Arabidopsis thaliana: one gene and its partners. The protein of the gene in region 4 interacts with the protein of the main gene of each other region in a pairwise test. Each region holds a gene or a part of one and is shown on either strand. Other genes may lie near its edges. The genes, in order: SUT4, RK3, AT1G08230 and PUP3.

Region 1 (5,675 bases), 6.6 Mb from region 4:
TAACTCTGGAATCATTCACAATTTTACAAGGATAAGTATTGCTCAAGCTGTATTAGCATCTACTTATTTCTCTCAATTATTGATACGCTGCCTACAGAATCTCAATAGCATTACAGTAATTTCAATCTCAAACATCTCACTCAAGAAGAAAACTGGGATTTGCTACTATTCCTTCCTACTAGGCTTAGAGCACTTCCAATGGTTTATCTTAGGTGTATCTTAGAATAATATTTTAGAATTAAACTTTGAAAATTAAATCAAAATAAATTAAAAACTAAGATTTGCTTCTTAGCTAAGAAGTTTTCATGAGTGAAAAAAACAGTTACATGTCATGTTTCAAAATTTTAGTATAAATAATTGTTAAGATGTTTGGTTAAGAACCAATTACTTCTTAACCATTGGAGATGGTCTTAATATTCCCAAGAGTCATCCTAATCTATTGCTGACTATTGGTGGTTACTGCTACTATAGAGACTACTAGTACTCGTAATGGTTCCTTTCTACTTTTGCTACACAGATCATGTAAATTTTTTGGATCTCAGGTTTTCTTTATCAAACTAATTCTAAAGAAAATGAACTTTATAAACAGTTACAGAACTCAGGGGCCCTTACAAACACTCTGTTGTACACAGGTTTTTACATTAATTTACAACAACAACAAAAAAAACAGAGAAGATCCCGAACTGGAACTTCCAATAAAGGAGAGATGCATATACCTCACAAACTGAATGATGTATTATTTTCATTGGTTCTATGGTGCCTCGTGTATACAAGGATCATAGTCCCCAAAGTAGAGGGGATTAAGTCCTAGTAGCTGCAAATAAGTTAGTCACACGAGAAGCCATTGCACGAATTTTCGACAAGGATCACATTAAGTGTTCCATCTCCTTGCCATTTCCAAGCACTCCCCTTATGCGTTCCTCGCTTGACACTCATCTATTTCGCATTAGCCGCTTTTAATAATCAGTGACAACTTAAGTGCTTACTATGTACTTTTTGTGAAAGAATTGTGACATTATTACCTTATATAACAAAAGAGAGAATCTCATGGGAGAGGGATGGGCTTCTGAATCCTTGTCCGTGGAAGAGCCAAGATAGCTACAATTCCGCCAATGAAGCCTGTAGCTGCTCCTACTGCAAGTGCCGGTGAATTCCCACCTCCAAACAGTTGATCCCATGGGCCACTGCCAACAGACACAATTACCTGCAAACACATAAATGATTGAACAACAGAATTTGAGTTTGATGCCAAAAACCATAACCAACATAGGGAAGAAATTCATCAATCAACTAATATAGAGAAATAAAAAGTGTACTTTCATCACTGGCCAATGACCATAACTAAAAAAACGAATCGTTTATTAATGACAATTGACAAATAATGCAGTAACTCTGCTGCATGTTATGCTTATAGACTTCCTTTTACAGGCAGAAACATTCAAAGAAGAATATGATTTTGAGTTGCGGCAAATATAATGCTAAAAGGATGGTTGAAAGAAGTGTACCTGTGGGATGACTATCGCCAAATTTAGCACACCCAAAGATAAGCCTGCCACAACAGAACTTTTATAAGAAACAACACTCATATGTAGAGTAAAATCATTGAGCAGAACTTTTCTAAGAAACAACACAACAGAACTTTTATAAGAAACAACACCCAAAGATAAGCCTGCACACCTTGACCTAAGCCCAGGGATTCAATACGTATGGAAATCAACGCATATGGGACGCTGTAAGTTATCTGCAGAAGAGTAGCAATAGCATTAGTTACAGCGAAAGCGTAAATAAATTTCATCATGTTGTTACAGATGAGCAGGCAAAATATCATAAGTAATAGTGTAAGTAACATGACAGCAGAATTACAGGAGTAAACTTACCGCCAATGGAATGCCCAGAATTGTAAAGATTAACACAGCAGCAAACACGATGCTGGCAGGAGGTTGTTCATGGCCAATGTAGCCAAGGTGAGACGCAACAAATGAGGTGATTATCATTCCAAGAAAGCAAATAGCCATTAAGATATTTGATATTCCCCAAACAAAACCAGCCCCCCACTTTCTGCAAAGTTTCTCCATGAGCACAGAAGTGATTCCAAGAAAAACAGAATTCAACATCAAACCAAGTGCACCCATACTGACCCCAGCACTATATGAAGTCCCTATGTTCGGTTCACCGCCATAGATCTCTCGACCCATCCAATCAGTATCAAACAGAATAAATGGAAACCAACCAATCCATGTCAATGCTGTAACAAGCAAGATTATCCAAACATTTCCTGGAAAATATCTGAAAGTTCCAAATATCTCAGAAAGAAAAGCTTCGTCTGTTCCACTGGTTTGCCCATGTGCTTCAGAAGCCAATGAAGCAAGTGGCACCTCATGAGCCGCTGAGACGCTTAGGATCGTAGTTATTGCAATAAAGACAACATCTATGTAGAAGGCAGACTTGAGATTGGCACATTCCACATTACATGCAACTGTCTTCGTAAAAGTGAAGATCTTGTACCAACCATTGTATGATCCAGTAGCATAGCCAAGAACATTGCCAACAGCCATAAAGAGAGAGAAGTAGCCATTTGCAACTCGGGTTCTGCGATTATCATTCTCTGAAAATAAAGCAATAGGACAAGAATTAAAACACAACATATCTTTGTTTTCACTCCATGAGGTTATCACACAATCGTAGGCTACGATTAACTTCACCAAAATCCACAATTTGATTCAAGGGAAAGAGAAAAAACAAAGTCTCTGTGACTCAACGATAAGCCACCGACCAGAAACAAAGAAGGGACCTTTTGATTGTTAGGAACCAATTAGGTAATTATATAACCCCAAATTGTATCCAAAATCACAAATTTATGCATTTTCATGTTTTGCATGTGAGTGTATAATCACGAGAATCCCAAATTTACTACATTTGAATGATTTCAAATTGAAGACCCAATCAACACTAAAGTCAGGAACTTTACCAGTAAGATCAGCAAGGAGAGCTCTACAAGGACCTTGAGTCATATTATTAGCAACATCAAGAATCCAAAACCCTAAAACAAAAGCAACAATCGCCCTCGGCTTAATCTTCCCTTCTCTATCCCCAAATGCCCATCCAATATCCGCCGCATGACCAATAACCATAACAGAGATAGAAATCGCCACAGCTCCGGCGACAATAAACGGTCTCCGACGACCGTACTTACTAGTACACCTATCGCTACTATGCCCAACGAGCGGTTGCACGAACAAACCAGAGAGAGGACCGCAAAGCCAAATCACACTAGCCCAAGCGTGTGGGATCCCCAGCTCTTGAACGTAAGGTGTGAGGAGAGAAAGCTGAAGAGCCCATCCGAATTGAATCCCGCATGCGACGGAAGCTACACGGAGAAGCACACGCTTCGAAACTTTTGATCTAGGAGGAGATACAACGGGACGAGATGAAGAAGTAGAGGGTCGAGCTATTGGTGGACGGTTGCGAGTGACTCTGTGACGGCGATCTTGATCGGAAGTAGCCATTTCTCGCTTCACAGTCGTCGTGGCGTAGAGAGAGTGAAAAAGCTTAAAGTGGAGAGAAAAAGGTGGCGAAGAAGAAGATGTTGTAAGAATTCCATTGGACTAAAGGAATCTACTTTAGGAAAGTTGAGTGCTTTTTGTAAATTGTTTTAAATTTGTTGGGGAAATTGTGTAAATAATGAAAAGTGGGCACGTTAAAAGAGGGTATATAGTGTAAGGTTTGTTGTTTCTCTATGGATAAAATACATATTTTTGTTGAAACGAAATGATTTTGAGGGAGCATTCGTCATTTTCTGTTGGATCACGGGGCAAAAAGTAAGTTCCACTTACGTAAGCTGGAAGAAGAGACGTTGAGTATTCAATAACACTATCAATATGCAGTTTTGTGTTTGGAACAGAAAAAAATGTCATCTTTATTCAAAGAAAGAAGAGGGGGAAAAAAAAAAAAAAAAAAGAGAGAGAGAAAGAGTGTGCTTACGCAATTTTCAAATACATGTTCATCTACATAGACAATTTTCAAATATTCTCTTAATATGTAATTTGGTTGAGTCCGTTGTTTTAACTAATAAATTACTTAATATGGAAATTAGGTCGAAAGGATTGAGCGATCAAAATTGTTGAAATACGAAAATGACGTTATTGTTTGTTAATCAAGCTTGGGCCAATGTGAGCCGTACACGTGCTGCATGATTCAGGTTATACGGTTTAAACGTATAACACGATGGCGCCAATTTACCAAAACGTACTCTAAAATGGCATCTTTTTTATCTTTACTTATAGTCTTTTAGGCCTAATCATGTTTTAATTAGGGTAGGTGAACTGATTTTTATCTTTGTTTTTGCTCAATAGTTTAGTATGCACTTGATTGGGTTGGAATTCAGTTTTGTACCAACATTTCGTTCCCCTTTTTATGTAGTTGCTCACTCGAATCATGTTTAGGTTTATTATGGCGATATGAAATTGTAAGGTTTTGAATAATTGGACTATTTTTTGCGTTCAATTACTCACCGGGTCAAAATAAAGAAAAACGGATGATTCCACCATCATCTAAGGCAAAATGATTTTATTGCAAAAATAAGAAATTGAGAAATTCTCATTGCAAAAATGGCTTATAGAGAAACAAGAAAGGATGATGGCATGCAACTGAAGGCCCTATCCATTGAAGGAAACTCTTGTGGGCTGAACCAATAAGCTAAATAACCCAAATGAGGAAGAACAAAAACCTAAACATGAAGGCCCGTTTCTCCTTTTAATGATTTTATTCGTATAACCGCCTTAAAAAAAAGATTCAAATGAAAACAAAAATGTTTGATTAAAACTTAAAAGGCCGCAAAAGAAACACGGTTTGTGACGAAAACGTGGCCGCGTAAGCAACGAGTTGAAAAGTATCCGCGTCCGTGCGTTGCATAGCCAACTAATGCCCACCAGCTCCAAACATTTTCCAACTCTCTCTTTTTTTTTTTTTTTTTAGTTTTGCAAAACGTGTTTTCTCAGTTATTTGTCGTCACTTCTTTTCATCTAATTTTTTTGTCAAAAAAATTTGTTGCCTCTTTTATCTTTAAAGCTTGTATTGTTTTTTAATACGTACTTTATTTCTCATACGGTAGTTCTGAGAAAATGGTAAAACTGCCAAGCATTTGCAATTTTTGACGAGGAGGAATTTTAAGTAATAGAGAGAAAAATTCTATTCGTTAAATTCTTACAAGAAAAAAAAATCTTATAAGAAATTATATAATTATCTCATCAGGTTTTTAAATGAATTTGAACTCTCAATAAGGTTTACTCTAACGACTGATTTAAATGAACTTATAGTATCAACGTGCATATTCCAATTTTTTTTTTTTTGACATCTTTTCTTTTTTTGTCCGTTATTAGAGTGATGAAAGAATCTGTTGATTGAAATATGGTTGCTCGATCCCCAAGGTTGAAGTTAGAGAAAGATCTTTTCGAAGGAAGTATGAGACAACTACATGGAAAAGAAAAATCTTAAAATAATGTAGAAATTTTCTTAGTAAAGAAGAAAAGATGGCTCGCGGCATAACTGGAGCATTTATGAACTGTTGGTTTATTTGGTTTCTATTTTGTAAGGACATGTTCCTTTCCTGACATATGTCATCTTCTTTACATGACGTGTGCCTTCTTATTTTACCAACATGTGTCGGTTTCCTCTTC
Region 2 (6,545 bases), on a different chromosome or scaffold from region 4:
AGATCACGAATATATAACACTAATCATCTCTCAAGAACCCGACCAAAAAAAATCATCTCTCAAGAAATTAATTATCTATGCTAAATATTCTAAATTTCTAAACTCTCATTTAAAATTTAAATTAGCAAGCATTCATGTCAATATTAATGTGCTCATAAATCACAATTCTGTATATCAACTATCATTATTAAAGGACGAGCTACTCATCAAAGGTTAATTAAGGAATTTTGACAGAACACTTTTGATGCATAAAAATCCTTATGATCTAAAACAATTTTAATCAAGCCTCTCCAAACATTGAAATTGCGAACACTTTTGATGCACAAAAATCCTTATGATCTAAAACAATTTTAATCAAGCCTCTACAAACATTGAAATCACCTTGAAATGAAGGAAAATTTGAAATCACCTTAAAATGAAGGAACCATGAAGGATTTACTCTGTCATCAGTTAAAAACAAAAAATCCACTATACCCCCATGATCTTCCTAAAGCCCATAAATTAAATCCACCGGATTTTGGCCATGGTTAGCGATGGAAATAGGTGTTGCTGATCATAAAAAATTCTTATAACGTATGTACTTATTAAAAAAAAAATCTATTACAACATGTACAAACCTAATCTCAAAACGTACAACCCGAAATTCTACTAACCAACAATATTTGCCTCTTCTAGTAGCCATAATTTATAATATGAAAGTCTGAGAATCTTTCAAAATATCACATTGATGTCCTATAACTGCAGGACTATTTGGGTTATCCATAAAGCAATTACAGAATACATGCTTAATTAAGACAATTGAATCATGTAGTAACCTTTGCAACGGAGACGTACAGAGAAAATACTATGCACATAACTAATACCATCTTTCCTAGTTGATTCTTATTGTCGCTCAATTTAGTCATCTTAGTATAGAAGATTGGCTAGTTGACAGTCACATTACCGAGCATCAAGGACCGAGACAGTAATTTGGTTCACTGTCCATGATTCATCGTCGCGCTGTTTACTCGACGAAGAATCAGTGTCAAGAAGACTTCTCTCCAGGCAATAACCGGGCGCTTTAGGTTGAGGAATAGTTGTTGATTCGCTTCCGAGCATCAAAATTACCAAGGACATAGTTGGTCTGTCCTCTGCACGTTCTTGAACACACAAGAGGCCAATTTGTATGCATCTTAAGATTTCATGTTGCCTGAATGTTGATGAAGAATCTGTGATGATTGGATCTATGATCTCTAGCCCTTTTCCTTCTTTCCAATTCCTCCACACCTGTGTATAATGATCGAAATTTTTCTAGTGTTATCATTATTTTGAGTGTAAAACAAGATCAAGTTTGAGAGGTTTTTAACTTACACAACCGAGAAGGTTAAGGTCACGGTCCGAATTGTAGAATCCTTTGTTCCTCTTGCTACTTATAATCTCAAGAAGCAAGACCCCAAAACTGAAAACATCTGACTTCATCGAGAATATCCCGTCCATTGCATATTCAGGAGACATATAACCGCTGAATAACGAAGATTAGACTCAAAGTTTTGAGTTATTTTTTTTTAATTCAGATTTCAAACAAAGATTTTTAATATTTTGGAGAATGATTGCTTACTAGGTTCCAACCACCTTCCTCGTATTAGCTTCTGTCTCATCCCGTCCAAAGATCCTAGCCATTCCGAAATCCGAGATCTTTGGAGTCATATATTTATCAAGCAAGATGTTACTTGCTTTCAAGTCTCTATGGATAATTCTAAACCGTGAATCTTGGTGAAGATATAGAAGTCCTCGAGCAATACCATTGATGATATCAAATCTCATTTGCCAATTTAGCTTAGAGTTTCGGGATTTGTCTGCTAATGAATCATCACTGGATTGAGTACATTATTTTTAAAGACATTGAAAAATTGTTAGAACAGAGTTGTAAGGAGTTGAGACACTAACCAAATAGATGAGAGTCGAGGCTTAGATTTTCCAAGTACTCGTAAATCAACATCTTCTCACCCGCATCGACGCAACATGCAAGAAGCCTAACAAGGTTTATGTGCTGAAGCCTTGCAATCAACTTTACCTCATTCTTGAACTCATCAGTCCCCTGAACTGATGTCTTTGATAGTCTCTTCACTGCCATTTCTTGACCATCAAGTAACTTTCCCTGTAACCCTTAATTTTGTTACACAACGAAATATTTGTCCAGCGATAGATTATGAATTAAGTTTTCAATCATTTTTACCTTATAAACTATACCAAAACCACCTTGTCCTAGCTTGTTGGCGTTAGAAAAATTGTTTGTGGCCATGGCAACTTCTTCAAACTCCATCAATGGCAATTCGAGATCGTCTGTATTGTTTTCTCTAGATATGTGTCTCCTACTTGATATTACAACTTCGTTCATTAGCAAATCTCGGCTTCTCAGTTGATGATCAACTGTTACATACAGACACCAAAAACAGTAAAGATATTAGTTTTAAGAAATTTACAAACAAAAAGAAAGGAATTAAAATTTACAGATATACCAATAGGTGTTTCGATTAGTATTGATCGCTTCTGCTTCCTTTTCCACAAGAAGAAGATAATGAAACTTAAAAGAAGCAAAACGCTCACTCCAATACTCGAACCTATGATTTTTGCACTTCTGTTTCTTTTGTCCTCTGAAATAATGAAAAGAGATGTCAAATTGAGCACAACATTTAGGACCTCGACCATGGAAATGAATATCATTTTATAAAACAAACTAGTATTAGTCTTATGATTTAACAAAATAATAAACATTGTCGTACTTTTGATTAAAGATAAACGCCAACAAACAAAAAACAGCGTTATACTGTTATCGCCAATAAAAACAAAACATAAAGATTGGTCTACCTAAAAATAATTTCTTTTGGCTTTGGATCTACCTTACCATATTATTCTTGAGATTGATAAGTTTTTGTGAAGAATATAGTAGTAATCAAAAGTTTCACTCATGCGTTGCATCTTTTAAGAAGATTAAAAGTCCATTGGACCTTAGTTCTTTATCACAAGAGTTTTCACATATAATGCCAAGACCGAATGCGTCAACATCTCAATCAAGTTTAAGAAGTTTGAAAAGAGGGAAAATAAAACTGAAAAACGTTTTGTTAAATTCCAAATTCGTTAACCAACAACAATATAACATTGACTTGCACTATTCAACACCATTCTCACATTCTACCCCAAAAAAAAAGTGCTTTATCTAACAACCAAGTTAATTACTATTCTTGAAACCCTTAAAAAACGTTTCTTCCTTTTGTCGTTTAAGAAAATCTTTAGTATAATGTGATAGGATTACTCAATAACTTGATTGGGCAGTTTTAGCATCAATTTTTAGTCTTACTGACAAAATCTTTTATGATGTCTTTTTAGTTTCTAGTATGTATAAAACTGTTTACATGTTTTGAAAAGTGATCTTGAAGACTATTATCAACCGTTACTTAGCAAAAGTAAATATGTGGAAAATGAAAACCAAACATATGTCATTTAGTCTAATAGAGATAGTGGAGAATGAACTAACCGAGATCAGTAGCAGCCAATCTAACGTAAAGATCTTGACCACCTTTGGCATAATTCCTGATATCAAAAAGCTCTCCGGTCCAAGTCACACAACCCGACCCGCTACCCCGGATATCCGTATTCGCAAACGCCGTGCAATTACAATCTCTTAAACACTTCTGTTCACATTCTTTCACACCAATTCCTCTGTCCACACTAGCCGTGGTAGTATCCGGCAATTTCATTTTCTTCAACCGCACAAACCCATCTCCGCCACCACAGCTCAGTAGCGTCTTCCTCACGCAACCATCCGACCCGTCTCTCAATCCCCACACTTGAGGATTCCTCGGCTTAAACCCTTTAATACAATTACAAACAGGTGAAGTGTTCGAGTCGCAATAACCGTAAACACCACACTCTTTGTACTCATCACATTGGTCTTTTGGTGCGTACCAGAATTGGTTCCAATTCTGTGCTGTCTCAATCCAAGTGAATCTTTGTAACAATCCTGAGGAGCTTATGCTTAATCTCGAGTAAACGTCGCTTTTAGTGATTCTAAATGAGTAAGTCACTTCTTCTTTACTCGTAGTGAAATTGAAAACCATGTATTCAAATGGTTGCATCTCCGGTACACCACTAAACCGGATTCCATTCCATGGACCACTCCGGTACATTCGTGATTCTCTGTTCCATAGAAAAATCTCAGGGAAGCCTTCGGTTTCGAGTTTGAACGAGAAATCTCCACTTGATGGATCATCTGGAGATTTCCATGATCTAATGAATCTGTTGAACCCGGTTTTGGCATCCCAGCCAAGTTTCATCTCCGGAAGTAAAGTATCTGTCGGAAAATCAAAACTCTGCCACAAAACTCCATCTGGAGCGCTGTTCTTGGAGTCTCTGAGCACAAAATTACCATTATCAAGAAGCTCTGCCACCAATGGAGATCTCACATCTCCTCCGGTCAGATTCGTCGACCAAACCGGTGTATCGGACTGATCCAAAACGACAAGATTACTGTCGGAGATTTTGAGAGTTCCGATGGAACTAGAGAGAGGAGTGTCTCTGTTTGCAACCCATACGTAGGTTCTCTTAGAGATTGCCTTGTACCAAATTCCAAGATACCAACGAGAATCTAAACCGGGTTTGAAGAAACCAAGCTCGAAGACATTACCAGGAGACACAATGGTGTTATTGCTTGAGATAGTTAGAGATTCTGAAGCCGACAAAGTGTTGGCAGAGATAGAGTAAGCAGGGAACAGAATTAAGAGGAAGAAGAAGAAGAAGGTGTAAGAATGGTAGAAATTTGGTAAACCTCTCATTTCTCTAAACCAAGTTTTTTGTTTTTCACTCTTTCTTGAGAAAAGTATGAGAGTTTATTTCCATTGGAGATATCGGACATGTTTTGTGTAATGTGTGAACCTTACGTAACCGATTTTATTTCTGTCAATAATATATTACCTTGCTTTTTTTCTTTTCTTGGTCTTCTTGTTCGCATTTGGAAAAAATATCTAGTTATGTACTATGTGTACAGTCCAATTCATAGTTGACCTAGCAAATAAAAAGTCTTCTTCTTCTTTTTTTTTGTCAGGCTTTCTTTCCTTTTCCAATAGTCATTTTTACTTCATAAATTCAGAATTTTTCTTCAAAATATGATATTATTGATGACCATTTTTTTTAATAAATTACTTAATATATTGCTTTTTCGTATTTTATTATCAGTCAACCTTTTGTATGCATGCTTCGAGAGTTATATAAATTTCAGTGTTCTTTTTCGTAATAAATAACTCAATTTTTTTTTTATCCTTCCCAATAAGAACTTCAATGTTAGTATTCATCAAACAAACCCTACTTTAATTTATTTCCGCATTCTCCGAAGACAAAAAAGAAAGGGGTCGTTTCACGTTTTCCTGACTTTTTCTTTTTTTCTCTAACTCTAAATAATTCATCATTCCATTCAATTTAATAATGAGTCTACATTTGAATTATTCATCACCAAATATAATGTTGTCCTATGCATTTTGTTTGACGATTTTTGGCTTTGGAGCTTGGAGGAGAGGAAAATTTATGTTAACACGGTTTTAGGTATATTATATAAGTATGAAATACGAAGACCGAATACTCTTTTCACCATCAAAACAGTACTAATTACCATAGTCAACGCTCCAAAAGTCTTATTTTTGAACATCCTCATAATTCTTCGTTCCTCGTTTGATTTATATATAATAACTCTATACATAAAAATCAATCACATTTTAATTAAATTAAACACAATAATCCTACAATATTTGAAACAACTCACCTATATTTAATAGAATGAAAAACAATTATTATGATCCTCATTTCAAAACTAACCTAAATATTTTAAGACTACCACCTTTGTTATAGTATAAACGATTTATTTGAAGATTTATTTCAGATAAATGCTTTTTGATATTTTATCTGTTTTCATTTGTTTATACTTGTAAATTGATCCATTGTGATATTTTTGAAAAAGAATAGTGTGGTGATTTTTTCAAAATATCAACATCATACTGTAATAAAACCCCATTTGTAATGTTTCACTTTATGAACAAAATTTCAAGTTTCAACAACCATTACTCCATTATCCTAATTAACCAAAAAATATTATACGTTTTCACAACAATTATATAAAAAAAAACTTTACAAAAGAACAAACAAAAGAATCTTATCGTCCAAGAACAACCGTTGAAGTGATCTCATTAGAAGAAACGATGTATTGTTGGCTCGAATCAAGAGCAAAGTTGACATCAATGGAGTTTCTTCTGGTGGAAGTAAACGTTGGTTGTCTAGGCGCAGCGAGCGTCGCTGTGTCACTCTCTAACATAAGCAAAACTGAAGCCATGTTGGGTCTCTCCGCAGCCGAATCTTGAACACATAGCATCGCTACGTGTATGCATCTCAAGGCCTCTCGCTTACTGCATGTGACCCTGATCTTAGGATCCACAAGCTCCTCTGATCTCCCATGAGTATACAAATACCAAGCCTGCAAGCATTCAGTTTCCACCACTAATTAGACCATTTATAAACCAAAC
Region 3 (5,504 bases), 7.3 Mb from region 4:
ATTGATAATTTCTCAGAATTTCCTACCTTATAAAAATCGAGGAAAGAACGGGTGGTTGATCGAAGAGCTGGCATTTGAGAAGGGAGAGAGTCATGATTCTCGTATCGAGTGAGGGAGAAGAGTCCTTGATGATGCTTGTTGAGAGCAGAGACTGATCTATGCTTCAGGATTCGATTCAACGTCGTCGCCATTTTAGTAGAGCTTAAACCCTATTTGTTTGGTTATGTCTCTCTGCCGGCGAACCAAACACGCTTGAAATTGAAAACGAGTCTAAAATCCTGAACCAGATTTTTGTGTGGGTAACCAATCAAACCGATTTTTTAAATCCGGTTTAATTATAGCCCCCAACTTTTGGGCTTCCGTTTCTAGGAATTGTTTTGCGTTGGGTTTCAAATGCTCATATTCCAGGCCTGTACTGTGATTTATCAATTTTCTAGATATTTATTTCATCTGTATTTATTTCATTCAAAATTAATTAATTTAAATTATGTAAAAATATTGTTATCAAAATTTGAATATTATTTTCCAAATTTATAATCATAAACATTTTTCTAAGAAAAAAAAAGGCTTATTCTTAAATATAGAAATAACAATCTCACTTTGCTTTGCATGTTCTTTTATACATCCGCAAACAACTTATACGTATTGGCATCTATTATAATCTGTCTAACCGCCGCTACCATAGCAATCACCCCTAAACACGAAAAAACCACGGCGATCACAGTGTTGATCCAAAAAATGAAACTTTTTTTAGACGGCTTGAAAGTAAAGTTGAAGAAAACTACAGGAAGAACGAAGTCTAGAGGTATAAAACCGAAAGCGCCTAACAAGGAGTTTACATCTCCAAAAAATGGAAGCATTGCCGCAACGATTGTAGCCATCACGACGAAGAGGGAACGCACAACTAGTCGAGGGATGACATTGCGGATAGAGAATTCTTTCTTTGTTGGATCGCTGATCACACTTTCCAAAATATCGTTTATAGGTTGTAGGTATACCTGCATAACTCAAAATTAGTAACAATGTATATATGTGACGAAAATAAAATAAAATAATAACAATGTATATATGTGAAAGAAAAACGTTAAAAAAAAATTGTATTTACCACAGCAACGGCCGAAAGTTGAAGGACAGTGAAGAGATTGACGAGAAAAATAAACCAAGTAGGGACAAAGTAATGGTTTGTCTCGGCATTTAAGAAATTGGTGAAGATAAGTCCATTGGCTTTTTTACCGAATGCCCAATATCCTGTGATGGCTACTGTGAAAAATGTCATTATTACTACAAGGTAACACATACACAACCCTTTCATCATTTTTCCTTTCACTGGTGCCGATATTGTTGCCTGCGTTGCAAGAAGATAGTATTCATATATCAAATACTCTATATATATAACTGAGTCGATCATGTGACTGCCCTTTTGTTTTTGATGAATAAATATTAAAGTGGTGTTCTAAACAAAGAATGGAAACAAAATGAAACCTGAATTTCAGGTATAATGCCATTGCCGTATGTAGTAGCAATAATAGCCATAGCATTAAAGATTCCAAACACTCTAGTTTCTGGATCACCAACTATAGTATAGTCCTTCTCTGGTGCATTTGGTTCTTTTCCTGATATTTAACAGAAAACTCACCTTTTAAATGTAACAATATAAAAGGTTTAAGAATTAAGAGTAAAGTGGTTTAGTAAAGAAGAGTACCAATGTAGATGGATGCAGCAGCGGCAGAAGCACTGTAGAGGAGGCAGAGGAGGAGAGACAGTGAGTTGATGTATCGTAGAGAGTGAAAGGATGGGAATTGTGCCAAAACCAAAAGTAAGCATCCAAAAATAATCACAAACTCAAAGAGTTTCATTTCCCCATTTGGCTGCACTACCAAGTACATTGCCTTTAGGCATTGCCCTCCCAAGAGCGCATTGGCAATAACCACACCATAGCACACCGCCATTTGTATTGGTCCAACGTAGTACCTTCCCCATTTCGGACCTTATCAAACACACCCCAATAATTGTTAAGAGGAAAACCAAACTGATCTTAACTAATCAAACATTCGGAACCTGTATTATACTTTACCTTATCCTAATTAAAGTTGTATACAGTCCCGAAAAAGTGGGCTAAATCGAATTCCTATAAATCCTTCAGATTAGCGGTGTACTCTAATGAAAACTAAAATCCAAATCGATGATTCGATGCATAATGGATTTAGTTTCATATTAGCTACTAAAACAGAATTATCCAGTAAGATAAAAAATTTCAATCAATTTTTTCTCATCATTTTGTAGTTTTTGCATAGATAAATACGTTAAATTTTGTCTTAAAAGTTTTGTTGACATGTGGATTTCCTTGGTAGTCGACAGTCAAAGCGTAACTATCCTAATTTGGATCGAATCCTATGTAGGATCTGAAATTTAGAATATTCTACTTTTGAAAGCAGATCGAACCTATCCAACTTTACTTATATAAGATTAAATTTTGGTCGGCACCAACGTTTTATGAATACTCTTCTGACACGCACATATTTTTAAAAATTGAAATTAGTTTTGAAAGACAAATTTCTGCATCAAAAATGAAACAAGACACGGAAAGAGACAGCTATCTAACGCATGAAAAAGTTGAAACTTAACAGTGGTATGAGTGGAAATGTGGAATGGTCAACACTTCGATCCGGATCCCAACAAAATTGAACCGAAGCAAGCCATATCAAAAAATTCACTATAATATGAATTCCATATGATTAGTTTTTTTTCTTCTTATAATTCGAAACAAGACCAAACAGTATAGAAAAGTATTTTTTTAAAAATCATAGGTTTACACAATACATATATTGTGATATTAACCAACCACGAACAAAAGTTGAGCTCATACCAATGTTTACTTGGTTTCTTATAAAATTCCGTTGTTCGTAATAGCAAACGTGATTATAAGTATTCCATCTCGCGTTTTCACACAAAAATTAACTTTTTTTTTTGTTCAAACAAATTATTACGTAGGACATGTACCTTCCTTTATTGCGTGGATGAAATTATTGGAGTGGTACCGGCCGTGTGTCAATTATTACGTATAGAAGTTCATATAGACACGTATGTCTACGTACAACTATACATCTCAATCTTGAATGAAATTCTCTTAAGGTAAATTTGTCGCAGCTTTGATTATAGGAAAGAGCAAATGTAAAAAGAAAAAGAATTACTGAGGATGTGATGAGCCATGTCACGGAAGCGGAGGTAACGGTTGCCGAGAGAAGCGTGGTGTTCGAGAGTAAGAGAAAGAAGAGTGTACGAGTAGAAAGTAACGGCTGCTCCTCCGACCAGACAAGATATCCCGGCAGCCCATCCTAAGAACTTGAAGGCGTACGGTAGACTCAGTAGCGCAGGCGCCACTATAGACGTCGTCAAGTGGAATCCGCAGTGCCACCATGTCCCTAGTTTCCATCATCATCATCATCATATCTTCTTCAAATGGGTTATAATAGTATACGTTAAGTTTCATAGATTTCATAATTAATAAAACGTACCTTTGGATTTAAGGACGAAGAGAGAACCAGCATCAACTACTTCTTCCCCTCTTTTTTCTCCATCTCCTGATCTCTCTTCTCCACCCATCTCTTTATCGCTCTCTTTGTTTCTCTTTCTCTCTCTCTCCCCCCACTAGGTGCTACTCACTTTTATAAGTCCAAAAAACACACTTGCTATCATATCATCTTTTACCTAAAAGCATTTCGTAATAATATTAAACATTGCAGATTTATAGTTTATCGATTCTCTTCTGTGTCAAACGATTTATGAAGTTATAAAATGTGTATATCTTGATTATTTTCTTTAAAAAATATATGATAGAATATGAAAATAAATGGAGAATTCAAAATATTTTGGAAACAAATCTCTTAAATCTTATTTTTTATATATAATTTCAAAATAATCGATTTTGGAGACAATCTTAAATTTTCAATACATCCAACAAACAGTAATAGAAAAAGCAAATTGGATAATAGTAATAACATATCAATATAACATGTTAATATGTATATTAAATCCTTATTACAGTTTTACATTTTCATTATAACTGACAGAATTTTTAAAATTGAAAGAAATTTCTTTCGGTTAATAATAATAATACTAGATTTTCACCCGCGATATACCGTAGGGACAATTTATATTTTAAAATTAGTATATATAAAAGTTTGTAATTTGTAACAATCTATGTAACTATCTATAAAATATTTTTATTTTATAGTTTAGAATTGTTATTAAGTAACGTCCTGCCAAACTCGTCCTGCCAAACTCGTCCTGCCAAACTCGTCCTGCCAAACTCGTCCCGCCAACCCATCCCGTAAAAAAAGCTCATTTATTTTATTAATGTTGATCTTCTTTATCATATGTTTATGAATCATTGTCTAAATATTTTGTAATTTTGTAGTAATTAAATGTTATCAAATATCTCTGCGGTTTGATGATTATAATTGAATTGTAATAGTCATGAAGAAAAACAATATCAATAATGATAATTTTGTAGTAATTAAATGATATTAAATATTTTGAAAGTTTTATTTTAGTAACCAATCGTGTAGTTAATGTAAAGAGATTTTAAAAAAATTTATTAAATGTCAAATATTTAATTCGAAGATTTTTTTTCTAATTATCAAAAACAAATATTAAAATCCAGTGGCAATCATTGTAAATAATTCTCAACTACAAGATTTATTTCACAAAATAGTTGCAAAAATGTATATATAGACTAGATTTTAACCCGCGGTACACCGCGGAGATAATTTTTTTTATTTAAACTAGTATATATAAAATTTTGCAAATTATCTCTATCTATAAAATATTTTTATTTTATAGTTTACAATTGTTATTAAGTAACGTCCTTCCAAACCCGTTCTGCCAAACCCGTCCTGTAAAAAAAAACCGCGGTACCCCGCTAGTTGAAATTTATAATTAAAATAAATATTTTATGGATTGCGATTGTGTTTTAGTTTGTCAAACAAAATTTTGTTTTAAATAGTTGTCGAAATCTAGTTCAAATTTTGGAGAAATAAGATTTAGTGAATTGATAAGAAATGTATTTAGTTGCGTTTGCTCATTTTAAGGGATTGCAATTGTCTTTTGGGTTGTCAAACATTTTTTGTTTTAAATAGTTGCTGAAATCTAGTTCAAATTTTGGAAAAATCTGCGTGATATATGGGATTGAAATATATTTGGAATGTTTTTCGTTTGTTAATCAATTTATTGCTGAAAAAACTAATAATTAAAAGCCAGTGACAGCCATTGTAAATAAGTTTCAACTCCAGGATTTATTTCACAAAATGGATGCAAAAATATATATATAGATTATATCTATATATATGTATTTTAAAATCTTTCTCACTTTAACCTCAACATCCAAAGTTTATATGTATATATAGTTTATTTGCTCGATATGCAAAAGCGTCTGTAGTCCAACGGTTAGGATAATTGCCTTCCAAGCAATAGACCCGGGTTCGACTCCCGGCAGACGCATTTAT
Region 4 (3,556 bases):
ATTTATAAAATATTTAACAATTTCAATAAGGTTTTATGTAATACTAGGTAATCACCCGCGCTACGCTGCGGTATTTTCAGATTTTTTGTATCGTATAATTTAAATATAATTTTTAATTATCTAATCATTTACTTATGTAATAAGTAATTATTCTTAGTATTAAAATATATTTTTTCTAACAACATTCTCAACAATGCATTATACACACAATTCCTAAACAATGTTCATCTTAAACTAATTAAATAGAGGGTAATACTGGAATTCTCGAAACCTAAGAATTTGATGATTAAATTTCTTACATACTCTTCACCCTCGGCGATTTATTATATAGATATATAACAATATGCAAACTATTCAAACTATTAACTAATCCATGACTACTATACACTCATAATTTGAGTTAAGATTACAGAAAAAAATCTTCTGAGTATGAGAAAACCAATAAAATTATTTTATTGAACAACATGTAATAACAAAATAAATTTAGTATTAGTACAATTAAATATGTAAAATTAAATAATAAATACATCATTAATCTATAAATTAAAAGTTGAAAGCTTACATTAATTATTATGTGGACACATGGCACATGTTAAAGTGATGATGTGTCAATCATATGGAGAGAGTTGGCCAACTTTCATATATATGATTTGTCTTCCTTATCTTTTATTAGAAACATTATTTAAAAATTGTTCAAACCTTTATCCTGTATTTCCATATCTATTTAAAATTATGATTAAACTTGAGAATCAACTAAAATCATCATCATACATGTTTTGTAGGTGATAGCAAGAGAAGCAAGAGAGTTCAAGATTGGAGGATCAGTGTTTTACTATGCATTGATAGTGATCACAGGAATAATATGGCAAGGTTTCTTCTTAGGAGCCATAGGGATTGTGTTTTGTGCATCATCACTAGCTTCTGGTGTTCTGATAAGTGTTCTGCTTCCGGTGACTGAAGTTTTCGCCGTCGTTTGTTTCCGGGAGAAGTTTCAGGCAGAGAAAGGTGTCTCTCTACTTCTTTCTCTTTGGGGATTTGTCTCTTACTTCTACGGCGAGTTTAAATCCGGCAAGAAAGTTGTTGATAAACCTCAACCGCCGGAGACAGAACTGCCTATTCTTCCTGTTAGTGATTATGTTGCTTAATTTCTATAACTCTATAGGATTATAACAGAGCATTACTGTTATGTTTTGTTCCTAATATTATGTGTGATTGTGTGTTTTGTTATTGTTCTTGTGTATAAGTATGAATAAATTTGAAAGATATTGAGCTATTTGATAAATGCAAATTTTAATACACTTGTAGTAGAAATAGAATGATAATGATAAGTAAAAGATAGGATATTTCGTATTTGATAAAATCACATCCTATTTATCGATTTTATAAAATAAACATTTCACACTTTTAATTTAAGATTAATATAATTTATCTATTTAATATAAAAATTTGTATATAAATCAAAGAACTAATATAGAAAGAAGAAGAGAAAACAAAAGAGATAGAGTCAAAGAACCAATTAACCATCCTTAAAATCTTCTAATTATAGAGAGAATTATGAACTGAAAATCTTAATGTCATTGCACTAAATTTAGAAAGAAATAAATCCAATAATCAAAACTGTAGAATTTGATGGAAACGTAAATTAATATGAGAGATATGATATTATCTGGTCTATAAGATAATTACTACGTTTTTTATACGAAATTAAACAGTTAGCAAAATTTATGGGTATAAAATAGGAAAAGTCATGTTTTAGCCATTGAAGCCTCGTTAGGTAAAAAGAAACACAAAGATCTATCACGACAGAATCTAAAACCGGACCAAATTTGTTCCAAAACACAGCAACACCAAACCTTATAACTAACTCCTTCGACCACCAACCTTCATTATCCACAAGAAATCAGACAAGAATGGTGAAGGCTCTTGTGATCATAAACTGCATAATTCTAGCCATAGGAAACTGTGGAGGTCCTTTGATTATGCGTCTCTACTTCAACAATGGCGGTAAAAGGATTTGGTTCTCTACGTTTCTTGAAACTGCAGGCTTTCCTGTTATCTTCATTCCTCTGCTCTTCTCTTACATTACCCGGCGCAGAAGCAACAATGTGGGTGATAGTACAAGTTTCTTTCTTATCAAACCGCGTCTTCTTATCGCCGCTGTTATTGTAGGCATTCTCTCAGGGTTTGATAACTACTTGTATGCATATGGTATAGCTTATCTTCCAGTTTCTACAGCTGCTCTTATCATTGCTTCACAGTTAGCTTTTATAGCTATCTTCTCATTCTTCATGGTTAAACATAAGTTCACTCCTTTTACCATCAATGCTGTTGTGTTGTTGACTGTTGGTGCTGCGGTTTTGGGAATGCATACCGAAACTGATAAGCCAGTTCATGAGACTCACAAGCAGTACATAACTGGTTTCTTGATTACTGTAGCAGCAGCTGTTATGTATGCTTTCATCTTGCCATTAGTGGAACTTGCTTACCAGAAAGCTAAGCAAACCATGAGCTATACCCTTGTGCTCGAGTTCCAGTTGATTTTGTGTCTCCTTGCTTCTATTGTCAGCGTCATCGGTATGTTCATCGCTGGTGATTTCAAGGTTAGTCACTCTTTTGAATCTGAAAACATACAAAAGAGTTTTTAACAGAGACTTGAGCCCTTTACTGTTTTTGCAGGCCTTACCAAAAGAAGCAAGAGAGTTCAAGCTTGGAGAGGCATTGTTCTATGTGGTGGCTGTGTTTTCAGCCATCATATGGCAAGGCTTCTTCTTGGGAGCCATTGGATTAATCTTCTCCACATCGTCTCTCGTCTCGGGTATTATGATATCAGTGCTTTTGCCAATTACAGAGGTTTTAGCTGTTATATTCTACCATGAAAAGTTTCAAGCTGAGAAGGGACTTTCTCTTGCTCTCTCCCTTTGGGGCTTTGTCTCTTACTTTTATGGTGAGATAAAGTCTGGCGAGGATAAAAGGAGAATTCAGCAGGAGGAGAGTCAGGAGACAGAACAATCTTCTTTGTCAAGACCCATAAGTGAGTGTTAAAACTCAACGAAGCATGGCTTTTCGTTTAAAGACATCATAGCACTCATTTCTCCGCCAAGTAGATTAGAAGATATGTTTGAGAAACTTGTGGGATTATGCCGAAAACACAATCTTAAAGGACTTTTTTTTTTCTTTTCTTTATTTCAGCTTAACTTGTTTGATGTCTCTTATTATTCACATCAAATGAGTTTGTAATAGAATTATGAGGTCAAACAATGACACTCTCTGTTATGCTGGTGAGCTTTTTGTTCTACCAGCAATAGATGAAATTAGTCTTCATTTGTCTTCTGTTGAATGCTTTTATCTTTCATCTCTCGTGGTGGCTTCATCCCATTAACCTGCTCAACAATAGCGCCAGCAGCACCATTAACGAGAAGTCGCGGATGATCTGAGGACCCGTTAGATTCCACCTGTAAGTTCAACCAGTAGAGAGCTTCTGGTAAAGCCTGTTTGGTTCATATTCATGATTCTTCATTACTATAAGGAACAATCGCTAGTGAGGAAATAACATTCA

Evidence for each region.
Region 1: the proteins of PUP3 (region 4) and SUT4 interact in a protein complementation assay, tested with the Arabidopsis thaliana proteins (one large-scale study listed by BioGRID).
Region 2: the proteins of PUP3 (region 4) and RK3 interact in a protein complementation assay, tested with the Arabidopsis thaliana proteins (one large-scale study listed by BioGRID).
Region 3: the proteins of PUP3 (region 4) and AT1G08230 interact in a protein complementation assay, tested with the Arabidopsis thaliana proteins (one large-scale study listed by BioGRID).

The regions. Positions count from the first base shown.
Region 1 is NC_003070.9:3,242,089-3,247,763, reverse strand, and holds SUT4 (sucrose transporter 4), read right to left. Parts: upstream 3,779-5,675; 5' UTR 3,507-3,778; coding exon 2,969-3,506; intron 2,606-2,968; coding exon 1,878-2,605; intron 1,742-1,877; coding exon 1,678-1,741; intron 1,550-1,677; coding exon 1,506-1,549; intron 1,205-1,505; coding exon 1,046-1,204; 3' UTR 1,023-1,045; intron 937-1,022; 3' UTR 548-936; downstream 1-547. UniProt on the Arabidopsis thaliana protein: Responsible for the transport of sucrose into the cell, with the concomitant uptake of protons (symport system). Can also transport maltose at a lesser rate. May also transport biotin.
Region 2 is NC_003075.7:11,388,280-11,394,824, forward strand, and holds RK3 (receptor kinase 3), read right to left. Parts: upstream 4,948-6,545; 5' UTR 4,812-4,947; coding exon 3,515-4,811; intron 2,634-3,514; coding exon 2,499-2,633; intron 2,410-2,498; coding exon 2,216-2,409; intron 2,138-2,215; coding exon 1,927-2,137; coding exon of another isoform or gene 1,922-1,926; exon of another isoform or gene 1,836-1,921; coding exon 1,598-1,835; intron 1,502-1,597; coding exon 1,351-1,501; intron 1,267-1,350; coding exon 940-1,266; 3' UTR 548-939; downstream 1-547. Other genes in the region: B120 (S-locus lectin protein kinase family protein), read right to left, coding at 6,179-6,496. UniProt on the Arabidopsis thaliana protein: Involved in the regulation of cellular expansion and differentiation.
Region 3 is NC_003070.9:2,583,098-2,588,601, forward strand, and holds AT1G08230 (Transmembrane amino acid transporter family protein), read right to left. Parts: upstream 3,873-5,504; 5' UTR 3,604-3,872; coding exon 3,516-3,603; exon of another isoform or gene 3,423-3,515; coding exon 3,192-3,422; exon of another isoform or gene 1,988-3,191; coding exon 1,703-1,987; intron 1,614-1,702; coding exon 1,483-1,613; intron 1,346-1,482; coding exon 1,106-1,345; intron 999-1,105; coding exon 618-998; 3' UTR 547-617; downstream 1-546. Other genes in the region: AT1G08220 (ATPase complex subunit), read right to left, coding at 27-191. UniProt on the Arabidopsis thaliana protein: High affinity gamma-aminobutyric acid (GABA) transporter probably involved in GABA uptake into cells.
Region 4 is NC_003070.9:9,859,789-9,863,344, reverse strand, and holds PUP3 (purine permease 3), read left to right. Parts: upstream 1-1,776; 5' UTR 1,777-1,910; coding exon 1,911-2,600; intron 2,601-2,676; coding exon 2,677-3,042; 3' UTR 3,043-3,054; downstream 3,055-3,556. Other genes in the region: PUP1 (purine permease 1), read left to right, coding at 783-1,145; ATJ1 (DNAJ heat shock family protein), read right to left, coding at 3,368-3,452. UniProt on the Arabidopsis thaliana protein: May be involved in transport of purine derivatives during pollen germination and tube elongation.